3 linked regions of the Lepisosteus oculatus genome follow. The protein of the gene in region 1 purifies or fractionates together with the protein of each later gene. This does not show direct contact. Links are inferred from orthologs where the notes say so. Each region holds a gene or a part of one and is shown on either strand. Other genes may lie near its edges.

What was found.
Region 2: the proteins of kpna1 (region 1) and rnmt purify together in Homo sapiens (co-immunoprecipitation; 4 studies listed by BioGRID and IntAct, counting the BioPlex papers as one, with this or other methods). This does not show direct contact. The link is inferred for Lepisosteus oculatus from reciprocal best matches to the Homo sapiens genes KPNA1 and RNMT.
Region 3: the proteins of kpna1 (region 1) and arid2 purify together in Homo sapiens (co-immunoprecipitation; 3 studies listed by BioGRID and IntAct, with this or other methods). This does not show direct contact. The link is inferred for Lepisosteus oculatus from reciprocal best matches to the Homo sapiens genes KPNA1 and ARID2.

What each region holds. Positions count from the first base shown.
Region 1 is NC_090700.1:4,265,738-4,273,465, reverse strand, and holds the start of kpna1 (importin subunit alpha-5), read left to right. Parts: upstream 1-4,467; 5' UTR 4,468-4,660; intron 4,661-6,467; 5' UTR 6,468-6,475; coding exon 6,476-6,601; intron 6,602-7,728. UniProt on the Homo sapiens protein: Functions in nuclear protein import as an adapter protein for nuclear receptor KPNB1. Binds specifically and directly to substrates containing either a simple or bipartite NLS motif.
Region 2 is NC_090705.1:9,532,939-9,540,595, forward strand, and holds the start of rnmt (mRNA cap guanine-N7 methyltransferase), read left to right. Parts: upstream 1-4,639; 5' UTR 4,640-4,706; exon of another isoform or gene 4,707-4,710; intron 4,711-4,762; exon of another isoform or gene 4,763-4,978; intron 4,979-6,830; 5' UTR 6,831-6,943; coding exon 6,944-7,177; intron 7,178-7,657. Other genes in the region: fam210aa (uncharacterized protein C18orf19 homolog A), read right to left, coding at 24-135, 1,339-1,757. UniProt on the Homo sapiens protein: Catalytic subunit of the mRNA-capping methyltransferase RNMT:RAMAC complex that methylates the N7 position of the added guanosine to the 5'-cap structure of mRNAs. Binds RNA containing 5'-terminal GpppC.
Region 3 is NC_090702.1:29,026,315-29,034,336, reverse strand, and holds the start of arid2 (AT-rich interactive domain-containing protein 2), read left to right. Parts: upstream 1-5,004; 5' UTR 5,005-5,457; coding exon 5,458-5,549; intron 5,550-5,673; coding exon 5,674-5,767; intron 5,768-6,578; coding exon 6,579-6,676; intron 6,677-8,022. UniProt on the Homo sapiens protein: Involved in transcriptional activation and repression of select genes by chromatin remodeling (alteration of DNA-nucleosome topology). Required for the stability of the SWI/SNF chromatin remodeling complex SWI/SNF-B (PBAF).

The sequences.
Region 1 (7,728 bases):
CTCTGTGCAGATACACTCATCATACATAAGCTGATACAAAGTGTTTCAGAATAAATCTCTTACCAACATCCACAGCTTTATGAAGCCAGCTGGTAACTGCAGAAAAGATCAAAGCATCACCATGTGTATGAATTAATGAATTAAGTGCAACAAACACTTATTTCTAAAAAGACATTTTAAAAATAAGAAGTAAAAAGGCTGGACTTACATTGGGTCGTAACTAGACAGGAAGAGAAGTAAAAACTGAGTCAGAAATGTTGGTAATGAATGATTATGATTTCTGAACATATTTAGTTTTATCTGTACTTACAGCGGACTTGCTCATTTACAATGGTTTCTTCAGCAATTTTAGCTAAAAGAAAAAATAGATATTTTAAAGATCAGTAGTTCATAATAGAACTTATAATTTTCTAGAAAAGCATTAGAGCCAGTGACAATGTTCTGAAAAAGGAAATTAGCACCCACAGGTAATGACACTGAATTAACAAGGCTTCACATTAGGTTAATGGCGATCTGCTTGTAGACGCTGCACTCAGACTGACAACACTCTTTGAGGTTGCTTTGCTTCTGACCTGTTATGGACAGCTCATATTCACACATACAGTATACAATTTTTACAGGAAATGTAGGCTTCCGAAAGGTGTTATGCTGGATCTTTCCTAAAGAAGTCCTGAACAATGCTCTTTTTTAGAAATATGCAACCATTTTGCCTCTAAACTCTCATTAGATGCTTCTTTTGTTCCACTTATCCTACAGGGTATTTTGTTTCATGTGACACTCAGTGGAAGGCAAAGACCAGTGGAAAGTAAGGAAAGGGTCCTGTCAGATCGACCCAACTTACCCAGGTCTTTGGTTTTGTCGTTTTTATTAGTGGGATTCAAAACACCCTGTGGATCTGGAAAGGGAATACCAATTGTTAGATGATTTACATGACATAATTCTCATGGCAACAAGCTGGCTTCTTTAAGAAATGGCTGGATGAGACTGCGTCCTGTTCAGGACTCTCTCCACGTGTCACTGTGCTGGGGAGGAGTAGCCCTGAGTGACAGAGAGGTGTTTACAGGGCTGTGGAACGCAAGGAGTATCCTGCTCTTACTGGAGAGGGCTCCTAATGATCGTAATTAGTATAATGACAGTGTGTGGATCATGGAGAGGGACAACTGCTCAAGAATAAACACGTCTGTCAGGTATTTTCACAGAGTATTGCTAGAGCACGATTTGCTCTTTTTTATTTTCCTCTGACCAGTCAAGTTCACATTAGAGAAAAGCATAAATGAGAATATTAAATGTCTAAGTATGTCTGCACCTGTATACTCACACATACTGTTGTCTGGAGACAAATCTCTTTGAATAAATTAAACAGACAGAAAGCAAAAACTCGCAATCTTCTGTGACCAAAGAGCTGGCAACGGTGTAATTTAGATAAATTAATTCAATAATTAAGTAATCTAGGTCATTAAGATCTCTGGCATGGTGAAAACCATAATTCCCTGTGGATGTCTAGAAGAAACAGGGAATATATCTGATATAAACCGTCAGATGCTTGAGCCAGGATGCAGGAGAAACTGTACCCATATCAGAAAGCGTTGTCTCGACCCAGAAAGGGTGTCTCCAGATCTGGTCCTGGAATGTCACACTCCAGCGTTTTTTTACTTTTAGGATTCTTAAACCACATCAGCAGCTTCAGACCTGTTGCAGGAGAGTTAAACTGGACCAATTATGCCTCATGTTAGCTAACTCTTTTCAAAGTCTTGTGCTATGGATAATTGAAGGAGACCTACAGAATATGGGAAACCTGTGAAACAAAATGCTTAGAGCTCACCTAGTGCTCTTGCAATTTCCTTGACGGCCTTTGATACCTTTGTCTTGCTCTTTGACTTGTGTCGGCTGCTTCCTTTGCGCTTTGCCTCTGGAGAGAGAGGGTGATGCAGGTGGGAGAGGGGAGTCCTTTATCAGTGCCTCAGTGCGTGCACTAACTAAATGCACTCTCATGAGGAAAAATGCACTACATGCTAACTGCAGTACACACACACTCAATGGTTAATAAAAAATAAAAAAAAACAGAGTTTTACGACAGGAAATTGATTCCAGTTGTCAGATTACGTATACGCATACCTTAGCGTTGTGCAACAACCTGAAACTTTCAGGTACCATAAATAATATTATTGCAAAACATACACCATTCTAATCTGCAAGCGACCAGAATATAGAATACAACTTTTTGTATAAAAATGCAAATGTTGAGAAACACCCAAGCAAACAAAAAAAATTAGCTTTATTTTTTGCTAATGTTCTAATGAAGGATTCTGCTATGACTGTGCTTATTCAGTTTAATTATTTGAAAGAAGGGACTGGGCTTTTAAAATGCGTCTAATCTGCCCACTAACTATAAACAGACGAATCACTCAGCTCAGGCGACCTCAGCCTGGTCTGCCAACTGCAGTGTCCTACCTGCATCCCAGAGCAGCAGAGCAATCACCAGGAGCAACAGAACCAGTCTTCTCATTGTGCCCAGGTGACAGACCGAGCTCTCTGTATGGTTGTCAGTCTCTTGCTCTCTCTCCTCTCTCCCTTTCCCCCTTCTGTCTGCGTATTTATACATTCTCACCTCTCCTGTGTCCCTCCCAGGCTTCCCAGCAGCAAAGACTAAAATTACAGACCCCGGGTTTGAAGGCACAGAGAAATGAAGGCTTGCTTCCATCTACAGCATCAGATTAGTTCTAAGCACCCTACAATTTCCCCAGGATTCCAGAAAAGGCAACATTCTGCATAATTCATTAGCGCTTTCTGAACTCACTAACCTGGTTAAGTCAGAGTTCTAGCAGCACAAAACAGAACATTGTGTGTATGGGTTGTATTTCTGCACAACCAGCCTCTAACACTATCACTGTGCAAATCCCTCATTACTATCACTCACTTATCACAATCACTGCGCAAACCCTTTCTCACTGTCATTCACTTATCATGATCACTGTGCAAAATCCTCATCACTATCATTCTGCCTTTGCACCTGCAGCAGTTTTCTACAAAGCAGAGGTGGGGACAGCAGTGAACCTTTTAACAAGCCAAGCATCCCAGCGGTTTCTGTGCTCAGTTCACACAAGTGCATCCTCTACCCGCTTAAAGGACATCAGTACTCTTAACTTTGCATGCCAGGCAAAAAGTCAATCTTCAAGCCAGATACAGAGTTCAATGCTTTTGAGAATGCAGCTGATGAGGACTGCATTCTCACAACCTAACTCACAAGGATCTTTTTTAAGCGCTGTATTTGTTTGGATGTTTTTAAAAACAAATCAAGGACATCAATGAGCCCTGCCTGTGAGATCAGATAAGATCACTTTATTAGCCATATACAATTTCTTGCATTAGGAATGTGTCTTTTTGCAGACCCCAGCTTGCTCTCCATGAGACACACAGACAGGGAGAGAAGCTGGGGGTCAGAGCGCAGGGTCAGCCATTTATACGGCGCCCCTGGAGCAGTTGGGGTTAAGGGCCTTGCTCAGGGGCCCAACGGAGTAGGATTCCTCTGCCAGTCGTGGGATATGAACCAGCAACCTTCCAGCCACAGACACAGAGCCACCGCTCCGCCCCTGTAAGTTTCCTTCCTGCCCCCCCTTGCTGAAGGTATGGTGCCTACTCTTCGGTGCCTTCACCACCAATAGTGGTTAATTTGAGGTTACCAGGGTAGGAAATTACAGCTGTTAAAGATGTGTCTATGGAAAATACACATTAAAACTGAAACCGTGTTATTAAAACAATCTGTAGTGTTACTTCCTCGGTGTGTTTATGACAGAAACAGCGACGATCCACAATCCTGCTTCCCTCCTCGGACAGGGTCTGCTCAGGCCGCCTGGTGATAGAGCTCATCCTGGGACAGAACGTGGCGATCCAGGCGTCGGAGTGGAGAGAATTTTCCAGGTGTTTATTTGCAGTCGAGATGTAGCGGTGTGTGTGCGTGCCTCTTTATTAGATCATTTCTGGGTTGCCTCCACTGAACCTACGTCAGGTAGAATAAATAAGAGCAAAATAGGTTCTTATTAACTATTTTTGCTATTTTGCTGAAGTTGATGCAGGAGGCAGAGGGCTAAATTCTCCTGGGTGTCAAACCAGGGAAGGTCAGAGAAACAGGAAGATGACCAAATACATGCCTCATTCACTGACCTCCAGCAGGAATTCAGGTAAATGAGAAATGCAGAGATGCCGTGAAATAATCTTGCGTTCTGTAATACTCTGTAGCTATCATGCTGCGATGGCGCCTACGCATTGTAAAACGTCCGGCTTTGGAGGAGGTACACCGGGCAGCCACACTCAATGAAGAGCTTAGTCTGGGTCGCACTCCGCAGGCGTGGAAACCTCACTGGGGTGGGGGCTGTGTGTCGTACGCATGCGCGCCAGCAGACACGGTGGAGGGGGGGGGGGGGAGAAGGAGGAAGTAGGCTGGGCGAGCATGCGCACTGGCACACCGGTAGCTGGAAGCGGCCTGGCAGGACGTTGAATTTTAGGGAGAAAATTTTTTTTTTTTACAAAAAGCCGAAGCGCCTGAGTCAGGTCATCGACGGGGGTGGGTAAAGAGGAGAGAAGGTAGATTTGGAGTGCGGACTTTCCGAACCGTAGCCGGATCACACAGTATTTGAAACGAAAAACACGTCGAGACATCCATGTAAGTATGACTATTGTGTTATGACACGGTGGAGTCCACGTTAGGATAAGGTCAGCGTTTGCTTTTGGTTTCTCCGAGACACACTCGCCCCGTGTTTTCTGAAAGTGGGCCATTCGCAGTGCACGACTGTATAATATATCAGATCTGCACAGTTACGGGTACAGTTACAAAACCTCGGTGCACTGCCGTCATCCGCCGTTTTGCCGGTCATAGTAAAGACCTCAGACACGCCGCTGGCACGTTTTATCCGGACCAACGCTGGCCGGGCTCGGCGGCACTGGCACTTCGTTCGCCGGTGTTACATCTGCACCGACGGAATCGGCCGTATCGCATTTAGCGGAGAAAGTCCGGTGCTTGTTGCTCCAGCCGGATTTCTGTTCTCGCATGTCATGTACCGGGGGGTGGCTGGCTGTACCCCTGGAGCGCTACCAGGTGTTGGGGGTGACATTTCAGCCGGTCTCTGAACTCACCGCCTGCTCCGGCGGCCGGAGCGCAGCAGTCCCCCAGTGTGTAGCAATTGGGGGGGTTTAAGGAAATGACCTACAAAACTGGCCGGGTTGTTTTTCTCTCTCTCTCTCCGAGAAACAACCTCCTGACACATGCTGTCATTATATGGGGTGTCCCTTTCTGTTCCAGTCATGGAAAACAACAACAACAACAACAACTCATCTCAAGCCACCAATCTGCTGCAAAGCCTTCAGTATCTTTCAGTTGCTGGGCTGGGCTGTGCGTCCCAGTGCGTGTAGGTTTCCCAGTGTGTCGTGATGCAGCTCGTTCTCCCCAGCGCGCAGGCCGAAGACGCCGTGTTCCGGTGGCAGAGGTGTGGCAAAACACTGGAGGTGACACGAACCTCTCGGCTGATACGAGCTCCTGTGATATCGGCTGACAGCGAGCGGCAGGAGAAGGTCGGGGAGACCCCGGGGGGGGGGTCTCGCGAGCGCGTTCGCACCCAGGGTAGAACCCCGTGACGTCAGAGATCCGTCGTCACACGTCGTGATAATCAGATGAGCCCTTGGCGTTGAAGGCCGCCGTCCACCTGCACGTTCATAAATGCTCACTTAAAGTCCCCTTAAAATTAAAAGTCCCAGTTAGCTCCGGTAATACTAATCAGTGCTGGGGTATGTTATAAGCAGAAGCGTTAACAGATCCACTGTAAACACTGTCAGGGCGGGTCACTGGGTAAGGCTGTTTACTCTACCCGCTGGTAGACTGCTGGCAAAGAGTCCGCTTGTGTTTTTCGGGCACATCGGGAGGAGTCTCAGACAGCTCCCAGGCAGGTCTGAGACCAGGGGGTTCGATTTGCTGGTGAGCCTGCTGGTGCTCAGCGGTGAAGGGGAGGCCTTCCACTGTGACTAGAAGCACGTGGCTTTTTACATTTGTTTTCTGAAACCTGGCGCTCCAGGAGTGCAGGACCAGCAGTGTTTCCCCTTCTGAGCATTTAACACCGAGAACAGGAGGGGCTTCTTTACACCGCAGGGTGGTGGGAGTGGGGAACAAGCAGCTGTTGACCATGCTGTTGAAGACAGTACCCTGGTTTCTTCCTAGAAACAGCTGCACGAGGTCCTCGGGTCCTTCAGCTACCGCCAGAGGGGCTAGATGGGTCCAAGGCACTAACGATCCCAGCCCGAACCCCGGCTGTGACCCTTGCCCTCTCTGCAGTCGTTAGCTCCAGCCAGGACAAGCGGCCACTCTGCGGGGGCTTGCAGGAGCTGGGATGATGGGATATCCCTGCGCGTCTCTCTCTTTCCCTCTGGGCTGCCCCGCCAGAGAAGCAGGGACTAACCTCTGGGCCCCTGTCTGTGTGCAGACGCCAGGATGAGCTCGGGAAGGGACAACGTGCGGCTGAAGAGCTACAAGAACAAGTCCCTGAACCCCGAGGAGATGAGGAGGAGGAGGGAGGAGGAAGGCCTGCAGCTCCGGAAACAGAAGAAAGACGAACAGGTGGGCCTGTAACCGGGGGCTGCGGGGGGCCACCCGAAAAATGCGCAGCTCAGCGCTGCCTTCGGTTTACTCTCAGGGGCTGTCAGTTATAGCCTGTAACCTGCTGCAGTTAGGTTAGCCCACTGGGCTAGATGGGGTAAAGAGCCTCCTCTTCTGTTCTTCAGGGACAAATCTGAATTAGCAGCTGTTCACTAGAAGCCTGCAAGCATAGTTACTCTGTTCTTGCGGTTGGATATGGCCCCTTGTAGAAAACCGCATGCAGAATATCAGTGGCTGTTTGGTGCTGGACTGGTGTGTGTGGTCAGTGCTGGTATGTGGTCAGTACTGGTGCTGGGCTGGTGTGTGTGGTCAGTACTGGTGCTGGGCTGGTGTGGGTGGTCAGTAGTGGTGCTGGGCTGATGTGTGTGGTCAGTAACTGGTGCTGTGATGGTGTGTGGACAGTGCTGGTGCTGGGCTGGTGTGTGTGGTCAGTGCTGGTATGTGGTCAGTAATGGTGCTGGGCTGGTGTGTGTGGTCAGTGCTGGTATGTGGTCAGTAGTGGTGCTGGGCTGATGCGTGTGGTCAGTAACTGGTGCTGTGATGGTGTGTGGTCAGTACTGGTGCTGGGCTGGTGTGTGTGGTCAGTACTGGTGCTGGGCTGGTGTGTGTGGTCAGTACTGGTGCTGGACTGGTGTGTGTAGTCAGTGCTGCTGTGTGGTTGGTGCTGGACTGGTGTGTGTGGTCAGTGCTGCTGTGTGGTCAGTACTGGTGCTGGACTGGTGTGTGTGGTCAGTACTGGTGCTGGACTGGTGTGTGTAGTCAGTGCTGCTGTGTGGTTGGTGCTGGACTGGTGTGTGTGGTCAGTGCTGCTGTGTGGTTGGTGCTGGACTGGTGTGTGTGGTCAGTGCTGCTGTGTGGTCAGTACTGGTGCTGGACTGGTGTGTGTGGTCAGTACTGGTGCTGGACTGGTGTGTGTAGTCAGTGCTGCTGTGTGGTTGGTGCTGGACTGGTGTGTGTGGTCAGTGCTGCTGTGTGGTTGGTGCTGGACTGGTGTGTGTGGTCAGTGCTGCTGTGTGGTCAGTACTGGTGCTGGACTGGTGTGTGTGGTCAGTGCTGCTGCTGGGCTGGTGTGTGTGGTCAGTACTGGT
Region 2 (7,657 bases), on another chromosome or scaffold:
TTCAAGTTAAGTACAATACTCACCTTATACATGGCGTAGGCTGTCAGTGCATAACCACTCTGGGAGTCCTTCAGCATGCTTACGAGCCTTTCGGGCAATCCGACAAACTCCAGAAAGGGAACCAAGTTCACTCCCCTGAAGAACACATTGAACACAGTTGTTTCTTCTCCAAATTCAACTACCGTCATCAACCACTTCTGATGGGGCCCAGGCAATGCTAGCTGTCAATGCAGGATGACGGCACACCGCGGAAATGATCCTGAATTCCCCGCCTTTGTCAGTTACCAGTTATCCTTTGACCAAGCAATTGACTTACAATTGGCTTAGTGTATTGACTGTTCCCATGTGACGACACTGGTCACGATCGTCAAGATCAGTTTGTGCAAAAGCTCCGCTGCATCACTCGATCACATCATTACACAATGAGCTTGATGCTAGCTATGCTCAAATCAACCTTCATGCAAATGGGAGGTGATTAAATTGAGAGAAGGTCCTCCGGAGACCTTTAGATCTGATGTCTGATCACTGTCGCCTTTTTCAAATCAAGAAAGGAGTCGTACAGTGAGATGTCAGATGATGCATGGGTGGTAGGCCGGCGCACACAATGGTAAAAACAAACAAGCCAAATTGCAGACTGCAGGGGAGGGAGAGACTGTCGCACAAGATGAGTGCGGTGAATGTATTCAAGCTGAAACTGGGTCTGTGGTCTTCACAGCTAAAGAACAACATGACAGGGCAAATCCGGAGGAAACCCTACAGCACATCAACGAGAGAGGGCTCCATCCAGAACCCCTGGACAAACTAGAGGATACATTCAAAATATTATTTCAGGAGGTAGATCTTTGTCTTTATTTCCAACCTTCTTCTTTAAGTGGGTATTGGAGGGCTAACAGAAAAGTTTCAGCTGGGGAATGAACACTTATTTTTTTAAATAGGACAGTGACCAACTTAGCACTTACAGCCCACCGACACTCTTTTAACTACAAGGTATGTTCGTAAGCTTGTCTTTTCACCAGCAGGCACCCCATTTGTGCAGGACATCACTATTTGAAGCCCCCATGTGCATCTTATTGGAGATCTTGTCTCAGGATCTGTGGGAAACTCAAAAGTAGGTCCTGTATTCCTGTAGTTTACTGAGTGAAATACTGACAATGCCTCACCATAGCACAAATACCTTTAAATTATTTTTGCCTGGCATTATCAATGGAGCTTCCCAGGCAATAAATGGTTGTTTCCTCGTTAAACTCGGGTTGCAGAGCGAACAGCTCTTTGTGAAGACCCTTAACAAAGTGGAAGCCACTTTCCACACAGGTCTGAAGCTCAAAGCTCTCCACTTACTTCATGGCAGCATAGTAGAATGAGCCGAACCACACTGTAGACGTCACAAGATGCACGGGAATCATGACTTTTCCGTACTGCTTGAAGGTCTTCTTAAACCTCTGGTAGAGGCCGCTGGATGTGTCCTGAAGGGGGTCCGCCTCTGTCTCAGGGGCTGCGCCGGGTGGCGGATCACTGCCCGTGGCGCCCAGGGCCCCTTGTGGAGACACCGGCGGGGGCTCGTCGTTGATGCCGGCCTTGCGCGGCTCCGCGGCCGTCCGTGCGGAGGACGCGCTCACCCATCGCCGGGAGGGAGACAGCCACCCCTTGCAGGGACCTCCGGGTGGGACACCGCCCGCTGGGCCTGGAGTCGGGCACAGAAGGAGAGGGCGTGCCGCGTGCACCTGCCGGAGAACAGTCTGTAACAGAAGCCGCTGCATCTCCAGGCTCCAGTACCGTCTGGGAGCAGATTACAAAGAACAAGAAAACGCATTTACTCCAGCGGGGTCTGACAAATCCCTGCGATCAGCATCAGCGCATATCAACCTAAATACATGTTTTTAAAAGATCTGTCTTCATTTGAATCGGGCGACGTACATTCCCGCCTTCCAGGAAAGCGGACTTAACTCTTGTTAAGTTACTGAACTTGGGACCGAACAAAAATATTTCTTTTAATCAAACACGATCGTGGTAATGTACCCACTTGAGATGCATTATCAGATGCGACAAACTGCTTTCTTGTAAGTTATACTAATTAATGCTTTGTATTTGTTGTGCAATAATGTTTACAAACACCTATTTGCATTTTAATGTCGAAACTGCTTCCTTTACCTTCATTGAAATAGAATGTAGCCTGAAAATTAAGTTCTGGCCTTAATGCTTTACACCGTATAATTGCTATTATCCCAGGAATAGACAATTTAACTATTCTGGGGGTAGATCGATTTTACAGATCCGTTACGTGTGAACTTTCAGCTCGATGTTTCCTGTGCCACATCTTTTCCATTACTCTTGATATCCCACTGAACTTCTGTTAACTGTAAGTTCTACTGTTATGAAGATGTGGCTTTTAGATTATACAACTAAAAATCCGTCCACAGTATTTGTGTTCTAATTCTTACTACAATCCTTTTGTGTAGCACAGTGCAGACAGGTTTTGCTAATCTTATTATCCTTACTCCATATTATTTTTTTTGTTGTACTTGCATGATTCCAGAGCAATATTTTGTATCATGAGGTCTTGCTGCAATGCAATATTGTAACATAACATTTCTTGATTTATAAAGTTACGTTTTTAACAATGTATCCTCACATTTGATCACTTCTCCCAAAGCTGTCTAGAAGATGAAAATTATGATAATCTTTCTCAAAGCCAGCCTATTCAAACTGCGGTTTCCCGTATTACATTTTATATTTGGAATTTATATTTTTGCTACCCAAAGGCAAAACCCTATATCTGTGTTAAATGTATCAGTCAGGCTTTTGACCAGCCCTGAGTTCTCTGAATAGTAATGTTCTTGTCATCATTTGAAATCATTCCCATTTTTATCCCCTAGACAAATCATTTCTTTGTGTTTTTTTGTTGTTGCAATACTGGAAAAAACTTAATATTTATTTTAGTCTCCTTTGCAAAATTCCTTACTATCTTTCTCATGGTCTAATATCCTTTTTATCTCAAGAATGCATTTAATTAGTTTTATAACTTTTTTTTTAACACTTTATGAAGTGCTTCATTTCTCCTTATATTCTTCTTAATTTACTTATTCAGCATTCTGGGCCACTGTTTTCCTGACTCTGATTTGTTTACTCGTGAACTGAATCTGTTCTGTGTTACAAGCAGAATACATATAAACCTTTGCCATACACTTTCTAGAAGATCTATATGTAGATTTTCCCTTTCTACTTATGTACTGTCTCATTCCTTTATTGTCTGCTTTTCTGAACTTGCAAATGTTTGTGTTGACTCACCTGCGCAGTTTGAAGACCTATTCGAAAACATCAATACTAAGACAGCAGTTCCCTGATGTTTCTGTTTTTCTTACTCCATCTTGTCAGAAGAGACTACATCAATACAAGTATTTACTCCTGGAGGTCCTCTGACGCAGTTATCTACTAGATTCCTAAACTGACATTCCTATTGGTTTTTCCCAATCTTAATGTTAAAAATCCTCCATGAAACCACTTCTTTTTTCACATACTATATATATATATCCTTAGTTTCATCATATAAACCTGCATTATAATTAATTTCTGAATTTGGTGTCTTGCATTCCACACAGGAATTAAATAATTGTGACCAACACAATTTTCAAGAACCTTTACATTCACAGATTTTGATTCACAGTCTGACAAATCGATAGGTGATTTTTTTTGTCAGTCCTATGAACAAGAATGATTAAGAAAGTAACTTTCACGTTGTAATTTGTCATAAAACAATCATCAACTAGAGAGGAGATCCCTTTAGGTTGTAGTAGTCCAAAAAACTAAGTGTACTAAGAAAAAAAACTTAAAAAGCAGTCTTACCTTAAAAGAATGATTGATTCAACCGTTTTATTACCTGAGCTGAAATACAAAAATATTTTGGTTAAAAAAACATCTGCGAAGCCGAATATATCAAGGCCGGATATATCAATTTTGATTAAAAAAATCGTATCACTCTTTTAAACCATACAGTATATTCTGGCTACGCAGAGATTCTTGCATTTCGGGATGTCCAAGAGTGAAATTATCATTGTTCACAGGAAAAGAAAACAAACGTTCAGCGATTAAACTTCTAAATGCCTGGTTTCTTACACTGTATATTGGTTTCATTTGTGATGCCTACGTTTCTGTTCACCTAATTAAAAAGGCCTCTCGAGACAATTGGCATTGACAAGCCCTGGCTTGAAGATTTGTACGTGACTGGTGATTTCTAAGCCTTCGCCCTCACAGTCAAGTCCAGCTTTAGAAGCAGTTAAGGCCCCATTCTGAACACCTGCCAAATATATGTCGGCAAAAACTCCACAGCAAATAAGTAAAAAACACACGGGGTTTTTCGATTTAAAACGCAGTTCTATTAAATGTTCAGAGTACGTACGTTTAGAACTAGGTCCAGCATGATGTGGTGAAATCCCAACTAAAGTTTGAACCGAAAGACAGACATGCCCGCTCTGTCATTCAGAACACACCAGCTAGATGGCATGCCTCCCCGCATGGTGGGAAACACGCGCGGGACTCTGGGAAATGTAGTGCAACGAAGCCTCAAAACTAGTGTGGCACTATCCTCTACTTTCATCATTAAAACTACAAGGTCCAGCACCGGCGAGAGGGCGGAGATTTTCTCAAATAAGGAAACAGGATCTACTGCTTTCCCAGCATGCTTAGGAGCGGAAGTAGCATGCCGTAACAAAGTAGGTATGGTGCGACGGTGCAATGTTAATAGTGCGGATATTATTATTTACAGAAATTAAATATCTTTTTCAGTATTTTTAATTGCGCGTTTGCTAATGTTTCAACAGAACTGGTTCTTTCCCTAGTTAGATTAGCTCGGAATTAGCCTCGGATAATTTTGAGTGTAATGTAAACAACTGTGTTGTAATGCTTCGTTCGTGTTCCTGGGCATCTTCGAAAATCTGCTATCAGCTATAATCTTGGATTTAGACGTTTGAAAAAAAAAACCCACGTAAGATCGTTAGACAAACCGCGGCTCGATTTGTTAAACGACTAGTAACGAAATGTGTGTCGCAGTTTGCAGTCTAATCCCTATGAATGTATTGTTTTGGTTTAGTCCGTAGCTTGATGCATGTTCTCTTTAGATGTTTTTGTTACGTGTTGTGCTCGGAGTGGGTTATTGAATGATTTCAGGACGTCTTGAAGCCGGTGTGTGATACTGAGTTGATGGTATATACTGAAGAACTTCGTACGCGCCCCACGTTTATCACGGTTGAGAATTAACGACGCAGCGCTAAACGTGTGTTATCTGTTGGAGTAGAATATCTGCACGTGAAATGGGGGAAAAAAACCTGTTTTAAAGACGTATATTCGGGAGCAAAAAGGAAAGTTTTCCATGGAGCCGGAGTGGGGAAACAAGCTACGTTTGAGGATGGGGGAGGGGCAGCGTGAACCTGTCCGCTTGGCTCTCTCACGAATTTCATGGAGTGGTTCTTGTTTCTCGGGTGCGGTGTTTTGCCATGTTACGGTCCTTTTGGCTTTGGCCGATTTTGTTTCCCAGTGAAGAAACGCGAAACACCCGCTAAATCCGAAATAAAACTGGGCGCTTTTCATTTCACCTCAGCCTGTCCGGTTTACAGGTGACGCCGGTCATTAATCTAGGATTAATCCTGCTGTTGACCGCTTGTACATGTGGTGGCGCATTTCGCCTGTTGGGCAGGACACCGCTACATTGCCCTTTTCAACAGAAAACAACCACAACTACAATATTTAAAATCGTTTCATAATAAAAAAAAACAATTATGGTAAATAATGCTACAAATCATATACCCAGAGAACGACATGTATAGCTAAATTCTAGCGAACACTGTTTCCTTTAAAGGACCATAAAATATATAAAAATACATTTTATCTAAATTATTCACATTATATTCAAAGTATAGTCTGCAATACGCCCTGCGTCTCTGGTATCGGCATGAATCGATTTTACTCGGAATGGCGTTTATTCATCAACAAGTAAAGGCGTGGAAACGGAACCTGAGTGAACGGTCATTAGGAGTCAAGGGTGTAATGAAGACATGGTAGCTCTCCTGGACTTCGTGTATCGCTAAACTGCCACATACAGGATCCATCCATCCAATAGAACTCCGTAACTAACACTTTAGTATCTGCTTTGGGTTCTGCCATGGCTTCTGCACACTGAAGAATTTACTGGCATTGTGTGAGACCCATTAACCACACTGTAGTCTCCAGTCTCTCCCAACCCCCTTCCACTCTGGTATCATCACATGACTGTTATTTATTCAACTAACTCCTGGATATTGACAAAGAATGGTTTGGGGTTCCTTGTCGTTTGGTAACGGTAGAGTGCATGTACGAAGGCGACACTGCAATTTCAGCGCTGTTTTGCTGGTATCGGGGTCAGTCAGCGCCAGGTTTAGGAGTTGGCTTGGCGATGCTGTAATCTTGCTTGGACACTGTTTTGTTTGCCTCACTCTGCGACCAGTGCACCAGCTGTTGTTGCAGCAATGCCAGAGGAATTCCTTAATGTTTTAACAAGATAACGCACGTCCCCATATGGCAAGGGTCACTCTAGCCTGTAACATCAAGGACCTTCCGGATCAAATTACATATTTTAAACCATTCGAGAGCCTATTGGAAATTATTGAGTAAACCAAACATGATTTTTTTTTTTAATTCTGGGGCGCTTGCATTTCTGAGGTTTTTCAGTATGTGCATCGATTTCACCGTTCACTGTAGAGTCAAAGAGGTGCAATGAAGAAGAAGTTTACCTAAGAAACTGTAAAGGTCTCTGTTGGTGTTTGGATGCACTCGTGTTTACAGATTTCGCCTTGTTTTCACAGAAAACATAGCGAAGGAGGAGTGAGGATTTGATTCGACAGTCGACACATCTCTAGTAGTAAATTTGAAGGAAAAGAAGAAAAGCTGCGTGGAGAATCGGTGCTCAGGAGTAGCCATGGAAGGTGCGGCTCAGAAGGAGGAATGCTCTTCGGATGGAGGCGTTTTCCAACCGGAGGACCGCAAGGATTTAAACAGCGCGGCTACAGAAAGGCACACGGAGGGAGATGGAAATGGCGTCGCCTGCATTAGTTCTGGCATCTGTGGGAAAGGAGAGGGTGCCAGATCGGACCAGCAGTCCCCAAGGAAGAGGAAACGGGAGTCGGAGGATGAGCCTCTAGCCAAGAAGCTGGTAAGAAACCTTAAATATGCTGCTTAATCACTAAGAGGAGAGTCTCGTAGGTCTGTACGCTCCGTGCACAGCTCAAAAACAACCTAATCGAAGAAAGTTTCATCTTCTAAGCGAAAGGTCCTGATTTTGTTTTCAGGTGGCGCAGTGGTTAGCATTGCTGCCTTGCACCCTGTGTGCTTGTGTGCTCTCTCCATCTTGGCGTGGGTTTCCTCCCACAGTCCTCGGACCTGCTGGTAGGTTAATTGGCTTCTGGGGGAATGGGCCCTGGTGGGAGTGGACCCTGTGAAGGACTGGCATCCTGCCCAGGGTGTACCCCGCCTTGTGCCCTTAGCCTGCCGGGAGAGGCTCCTTCTCCTCCGAGACCCTGAATTGGAAGAAGCGGTTAGAAAATGCATCTTGAAATCGTTTTCAGCTGTCTTACCCTGTACGGCCACAAAAACGTTGATTTGACTGAGTAGGAGGAAGTGTCTGGGGAGAAAT
Region 3 (8,022 bases), on another chromosome or scaffold:
ACTATACAAATAGAATTGCAACTCTAGAGGTAACATTGAAAGCTCTTTTTCTATAGAAATCAATTTGCTTTCCACTAGTGGAGCTAAACATCTCTGAGATCAAGAAATGCCACAGTGAAACAAATGTTCCACTCCCACTAAATTCAGGCAGAAACCGGGGGCACAGGGCAGTTTGTCACCTTGTATCTGACATAGTTACGAAATCAAGACACTGGTCTACAAAATGTTTGCAAGCGTTTGGGATAATATGTACTTGTAAGCTCTCCAGTGAGCTGTCGTCTGCTCTTCACTAGGGAGGCAAAATTTGGTGCTCTAACCTGAGTGGGATTTTTAAAAATACTAGAACAATTCTGAAAGTTTTAAAAATAATTTTAGAAATCGGTTACTATATAAATAGAATACATTGATTCGCCTGTCCTGCTTTAAACGATTTAATATTTTACACATCTCACTGTATTCACGCTGAGGCCATGTTTTAATTGTCGGAATGCAGGCAGTAATTAGACCAATTACTACTTGACCAGTTAATTATCTACTTAGTGAGCAGATACATAGTTGTAATTCTTGATCTAACTTCGCGCTTGTACTGTAGGTGCAACAATAGAATATGTGTGAATAACAGACAATTAGTTAAGCAGTTCTAATAATAGAACATTTTAATATGACTGGAATATTATTGGCCAACTATTCTATTATTATAAGTTAAATAATAAATACTATGAAACTATCTGTTTGGCTGCTGCAAACTATACCACTGGTATAATTGTGTTTGAAGATTTACTTTAAAAAAAACATCTCTATGTTGAGAAAACAATATTACTTTTTTATAGTTTCGTGTTTATAAAATAGTAGAATATTTCTGGTATAGTCTTCATTGAGAACAGTCACAGCAGTGCTGTATACTCTCCTAATCTGTATCGCTTTCATAAATAAACTGAACTGCATCTACCCTGTAGAGGGAGCTATAAACTAATTTGTTGGCGACAAACCTGGCCTGCAGCTGCAACAGTCAGGTGGGTACAGCTTATTTTTTTATAGTTCTGAGGCTGAAGGTATTCTTCAGCATTCAAGGACCTGAAAATTAACTAATCAAAAATGTTGACCTAACCCCTGTAATGCAAATATATCATGATTTGTAGAGAAATGTGAGTCCAGCATTCTAACACTATTTTTTACATTACCAATTTACAATGACTTCCTAAAAATCTGATTATTGCTACTTCATTAGCTTCCTGATTTTTCTTGTTTAGTTTATTGAACAATTGCAATGCTCTTAAGCTGTACCATAGTTAGCTAAAAAGCTCATTTACATTTGTTATCCCTGGGCAGGACACAACTAACAAAATACAAGGCACAAACATATAAAAACAACAAAACATTTAATGATATATGGTATAATAAATAGAAAACATATATTACAAATTGTAAAATGCTCAAGAATAATTGCATGTTAAATTAATATATCAAAAGTTGCAAAAGGATCACTTTAGAAAACAATAACTTGTTTCCAGATTAACATGAACATTAATCCAGATTAATGACATGACCTATTTGTATACAGGTTATTTGCCTGATTGCCTGTTCAAGTGAATGTCAGGAATTATGCTCTCAGTTGTAAAAAGAAATCTGTTGAAGAAACTTCACTTCTGAGAACATCTATATATCAATTCTGATTTATGTTAATTCAAAATGTGGAGATTCCACTTTAGTCACTTAGTTTAAGATATACAACAGATATGAAGCACTGGAAAGTAACAAAGGTAGGCAAATGCAACATAATCCAAGTTTTATTTCATTTTATTTTCATATAGTGAAATGTTGGTGTGTTGTAGTTTTTCATTTCAAACTGATTAAATGCATGACGTAGTATTTGTGTAAATTAATTTCAGTTACAAGTATCAATTTTTTATCAGTAATTTGAGAAAATGTTGTATTTTGTACTCTTAAAAATTGCTTATGCATGAAAACAAATGAAAGTGAAAGGCTAGAGGTACATTTAGTTACGATGACAAATTAACAGTTACACTTATAAAATATATATATATATGTTTCCCTTAAGAGCCAGTTAATTTACACATGTTTTCAAGTCCACTATTTTATACTTCTTTGTCAAACGTAATATGTGATAAAGCCAAGAATATTAAGGTTTTAGGGTAAGGGAAACATATGCCTTTTCCTCCCACAGGGTGGAGCACTGGGTCACCCGTTGTTTCAAATTTTGCTCAATTTCCTCAATTCAGTTTCAACATTCTGAGATAAACATGTACAGACCCAGCCGATATATTTTAAACAATAAAATAATTATCTGTTGTTTCTTCGGAATATATTTATATATAATGCGAATAAATTAATTTAAAATTACACATCTGCTTTAAATATGTATAATGGTCAGATCAAAATGTTATTTTGTGTAATTAAGATAATGTAATTGTGCACTAGAGTAAATTAAAACTAAAGCAGTTAAGAAACCGTTTAAATATTTCCGTGAAATCTCTAACCAACCGCCTGTGAAGAAACATACTCAAATCCTGCCGACTACTTATGTTTCGGGGCTTCACTAAACCGGAAGCACGTGTTCAGAACAATACAACAAGATGAACTAGAAATTATCCCCATTACCTCGGTTAAATATGCAAAATTTGAGTCGGTAACAACAAAGTACTATTCACTGGTAACATTTTAGCACATGCGAGTTTCGTGTGCGTCCTCGAAAAAGCTAAAAAGAAACAGTCTAAGAATACGCTACAGCACACCACGTGCTCCTGTTAAATTAGTTTCTTAGCTTTCGGTTATAACCATTTACAAACCGACAAGACTATAACGTGGACCTATTTTCTATACAGAGGTGCGTGTGTATACTTCTCCTGACATCTCCCAACAAAATGGGGTCTGTCAGACGCCGGGTTCCGCCATTTTGTGAAAGTGCCGGAGCGATAGGGGTACGTGTAATGGTTGAATACGGTGACCCCCTCTCGCAGATATGCGTCTGGCAGTTATGAAAAGGGATCGTGAGCAATTTTCGATTTTCCCAGCACAGACAGATCCTCCCCCAGCGTCCTCATGAAGTTAACGCAAGCATACTAAATACCTCCGTTACTGTCCTGTTGTTTTTTTTTCTGAAACAGCTTTCCAAGACTCGCTGAAATCCGGCTTCATGAGACCGTGGTTATTTTAAGGGATGTGCTTTACCGACATTACAAAAAAAAAATAAGACAACGTAGCCTTGTCTATAGCAAAATGCGAGGAAAGACGAAATATCACAAAGGGTGCTTGTGGTACACTTTAACCTGCCGTCGCTTGAACATGTACACTGCGTCTCTGTCCCCACGGCTGTAAGAAATGAAAACCCAACAGTACCAAGTCCAGCTCTGCTGCAGGCCGGCTGCGCAGGAGCAGCCTAGTCTGATCGCCCCCTTCCGTCACGAAGCTTGGTTGTTCTGTGAGGCAGTGCTGTGGTTAAGGGCCGTTCACGGCGGCAAGAAGGGCTATCAGGGAGATCCCTTGCCGAAAAGCACCACTTCGCAGATGTAAACACTGAATATGGGAAACTACAGATTCGCCGTTTTAATCAAACGTATAGCTTCAGTGCTGTCAGTGCTGAGTTCATGGGAGATTTCCTATTATGTGCAGAATACGAATACTGATACTCTGTGTAGAACAACAACAATTCTGAATCCTACAGCAGCATAATAAACATTGCACACTTTGAAATGACATCTGACAGATGACAATAATGATATAGATGATGATGATAGAGTGCTGCTCTGCTTAAGTCATTGATTCACACAGTTCACACAAGATCTTCTCTGTGCTGCCTTGTTATAGCATTTATTTTTAGTTTTTGTCGAAATTTACGTGAGATTTAAAATGAACACTATTCAAAAATGAACTTAAGATAGCTTAGTAGTGGATAGTGGAGTTTAATATACGACTTTAATACCCTTTAAGTAATTCGCATTGATCACTTCAGAGTGTACATGATTTAACATCTGGACAATTGCGCTCCAGCTCCAGGGTGAAATTGTTATAACTGAGGTACAGTGACGTAAGACACCTTTCAAACTACTACTACTACTAATACTACTACTGTATTGCTCTGTCGAGGAATTTCGCGGGGGTGACATTAGGAACAGGAGCACTTTGGTTTGCCAATTTTAAGCTTATTAATTTGATCTGTCTTCAGCAATAATCAACGCACGCATTAGAAAATGACTGCACTGTAACAGTTTCGGAATATCCTGACCTTCTATTATTCACTGAAATAGTATGAATATAGTAATAATTCATAGAGCATTTATAAACTAGACAATCACCTAATATAACTATTATTAGTAGTATAATTCAATAATAGTGTTGCATATAGGCCATTAGTGTGAAACTTCGATCTCAATTAAAATTTAACTAGACTTATTATTAAATAATAAAGTGTTTTTTTTTGTAAAACATGATTCTCTTCATGCTTCTTTTAACAAGTCCCCCATGTCTTGATAAACATCTAGTAGTACAATTACCAAAAATAATTTATTTTTCTGTTTAAGTGTATAGTTATTACAAGTTAGATGGTTACGCTACTTACAAATGATCATTATTGTTCTCAATTGAATTATCTATTTTCATGCACTTCATTTAATATTAATATGAACATTAACCAAGGACTCCTAATTTGCACTGGTTACAAGGTGTATTAGTATGTCACTGTTCAACTTCTATGCAGATAACCAGAAAATGAAAGCTGAGCAAAAACGAACAGATTTCAGTGAAATGTGTAATGTGGAGTCCGCAGAGTACTCAATATGTTATTTTTGGCTGATGCTGACTTAAGAATGTCGATTCAAGGTTTTTTTATAACTACCTGTAGCAAGTTTCATGGAGGAGAAAAAAAAAAGAAAGGCGTCCCATCCCCCACCAACATTTAACACGGCCTTCTGTTTTAACGGGTTTAGGAAGTTTCCGATGAGCCCTAAGCAGAAAACACTGTCTATTGTTCTGGTAACCGCTCAGGGTAGTGCAGTGCCGAGCTGGCTGCTAGAGGGCGCTGCGCGACGCTCGGAGCTCTCGGCCTCAGGATCTTTTTGTCTGAGAACTGGATCCCGCTGCCGCTTATACAGTGTGTGTGAGATTGCATGGAGCCGCGTCTGTAACACACTGTCAAACCACTCCAAAACGAACACAATAGCAACCAAAACAATTCATTTACTATACAGAACAATGTCAATTTTAGTTTGCCGTCAGAATCGGTCGTAATTCGGATTGCTTGGTGGAAGTTATAGTAGGCTAAATCGGGTCTTGTTTTCTCTGTGTGCATACACATTATTATCACTCTTCTCGCTCTTATTTCTTTAACTTTTTAAAACACTCAGCTTTCTCGTCAATGACTGAGCGCCGGCGGAGTATGGGATCCTTGGTATCTTAGGAAGCGAATGAGTGGGGTTTTAACTGTTTTTTAATATTTTTAAAATGGCAAATTCGACGGGGAAAAATCAACCTGATCAGCGAAGGAAAGGACTGGCTTTCCTGGACGAGCTGCGGCAGTTTCACCAAAGCAGAGGGTGAGAAGGGGGCGGCTTTTAAACCTAAAAATATAACTTTAAAAACACGTTTAACGACAAATAAACATAGCCGGGGGCTCGCGGAAAGGCAATCCTGTATTAATTTCACGCTTTTCCCTTGTAGCTCACCGTTTAAGAAGATCCCAATCGTGGGTGGGAAAGAGCTGGATCTTAATGCTCTGTACACCCGAGTCACTACTTTAGGTGGATTTGCTAAGGTGAGTGGAAGTTTATATTCGCATTTCCCACTCTCAGCTCACGATATAACTGCCCGGGTCCGCTAGGAAACTCGTGGAGAAGCGGCTGGGCTCCTGCAAGGTGTTTGGCTGGCTCTGAATCGGCGGTGGTAAAGACGGGTTTGACGATGGCCTTGCGCTGGTCCTGTGAGTGTAGTGCTGTGTTGTGTGTCTGTGCGAGAGTGCTGGGTTTGCATTGAGAGTCAGTCTCTCAGCTGCTCCGCTTGCTCGGAGTCTGAGTGCAGTTTTAGTGCAACTCAAAATTAGCGGGCATGTTTAACATCGATAATCGGCACAGAGCATGGGCTAGGAAATGCTCCTCGCCGCGGGGAACGGCTCTCCTGCCTCGATTTTAAGCAGAAAAATCACAAAGAAGCCAGCCATGAGCCATAGCCATCTTAGGCTTCATGGCTGAAAACAAAATGTAGGCCTCAGACAGGCCTATATTTATTGAATACCCATAGAAATGTAAAAACGTCCCAAAATCATGACAGACCGTTATTGGAGGTATCGATCGCATCAGAGCGGTCTCGAAGTGTCACCGAGAGTCTGGACCGCTTTTTAGTTGACATTTCAGAGTAACGGGGGGAGGGGGAGGTCCATTGTTTCATATGGGAAAATAATACAAAATTGTAAACAAAATACATTGGATAGCTTGCTGACAATTAATATTGTAACACTGCGGTGTTTGGATACTCAAAAGTTTTGTTATTGACGTTATTGTGGGGCTTTTAGATACTCAAAGCGTGCTTGTTGAAGTGAATTTAATTAAAACACTGACTTTTTATTGTAGGTTTCTGACAAGAATCAGTGGTCTGAACTTGTCGAGGACTTTAATTTTCCAAGGAGTTGCTCCAACGCTGCTTTTGTTTTAAAACAGTATTACCTTCGGTAAGTTCTTCTTTCTTGAAATATTCTGTGAAATGTAGCCTTATTTAAAACAGATGCATGCGGTGTATGTTTACAGGATTTGATTCCTGTTGGAGGGAATGACCAAGAGATAACCCGAGACTTTTGTGACCCTGTTTGTTTTAAGTTGACTGCCTTGGGAAGCCACGTGTGTATACAATATCCCATTTGAAGAAATGCCACATTTGAGAGATTTGGGATATCTGCTAGGCATTACATCTACAGATGCAACGTTGCTTAGCACTTGGGGCTCCTGTCATTTTCAGATTGCTTACATCTTGAACAAGTGCACTTATGTCTTGAACTCCTTAGAAGGTTTCACAAATATAGTCATGCATGAGTTCTGTGGGTTCTGCAGCAGGAAAATTCTTCTTTAAATCTTGCTCACTTTTACATCTATGTTTTATTTTGCAAGTCCCCATTTTGAAGGACACAAGTTTTTTTTAACCAATTTTCACTGCTTTAACCGTTTATTTTGACAAACTAGGGCTTGATGGTGCTTTTATTGGACATGTGTCATAAAATGTAAAAGAAAACAATATAGAAACATTTTAACTCTTTATTTTGGGGGTGCACAGAAGACAAAACTTTGCTGGGTGAGAAGGCTACATTATTAGAGCTCAAGTGAATGTATCAGGAGTTGACTTACCCTACTGTGAAACAAGTGAAAGGTAGTTTTCATTTTCAATGAGTTTATTCTTTTTACTATAAGATGCGTAAGCTCCTTGATTATCTTAGATTTCTGAAGCAGATATGTAAAAATATCAATGTAGGTCTTATATATGGCGTTAGTGTTGAGGTTTATGGCTTTTTTTCAGCTGCACTGTTTTGCTGTCAATTTTAGAGGTATTGGCTTATACTTGGTGTAGGTCATAAGGGGGACAATATATGTTTTGGGTTTTCTGCTATAGTCAACGAAGCAAGCACTAATATCTGTAAATGCAAGAATGTTAACCTTGACTTGTTGTGAAAAGGAGACTTGTGCCTTCATGAAACTAGCTTCTGTACAACATATGCAATACGAACTTGATAGTATGCAGACGAGCCCTATTGATTGGAGTTGTCCTTAAAACCCTGTTTCATTCCATCACTCACAGCCAGCCCCCGAGCTTTAGAGTGTGCTGCATATGTTGGCTCTGACAGATTTTCCCTCCAAAATGTCTTGCCTGCATTTTTCACCCAGCTTGTTCTGGGTTTAGTTGAGTTGCAGTGGCACAGAATGACCATGTGTTCATGCGTTTGCACAGTGCTTGTAGTAAATACCAGTGCATAAGATTAACAGCCAGAACATTAGAAGTGGTGTTATGACTTATCCATGCACAGCTATC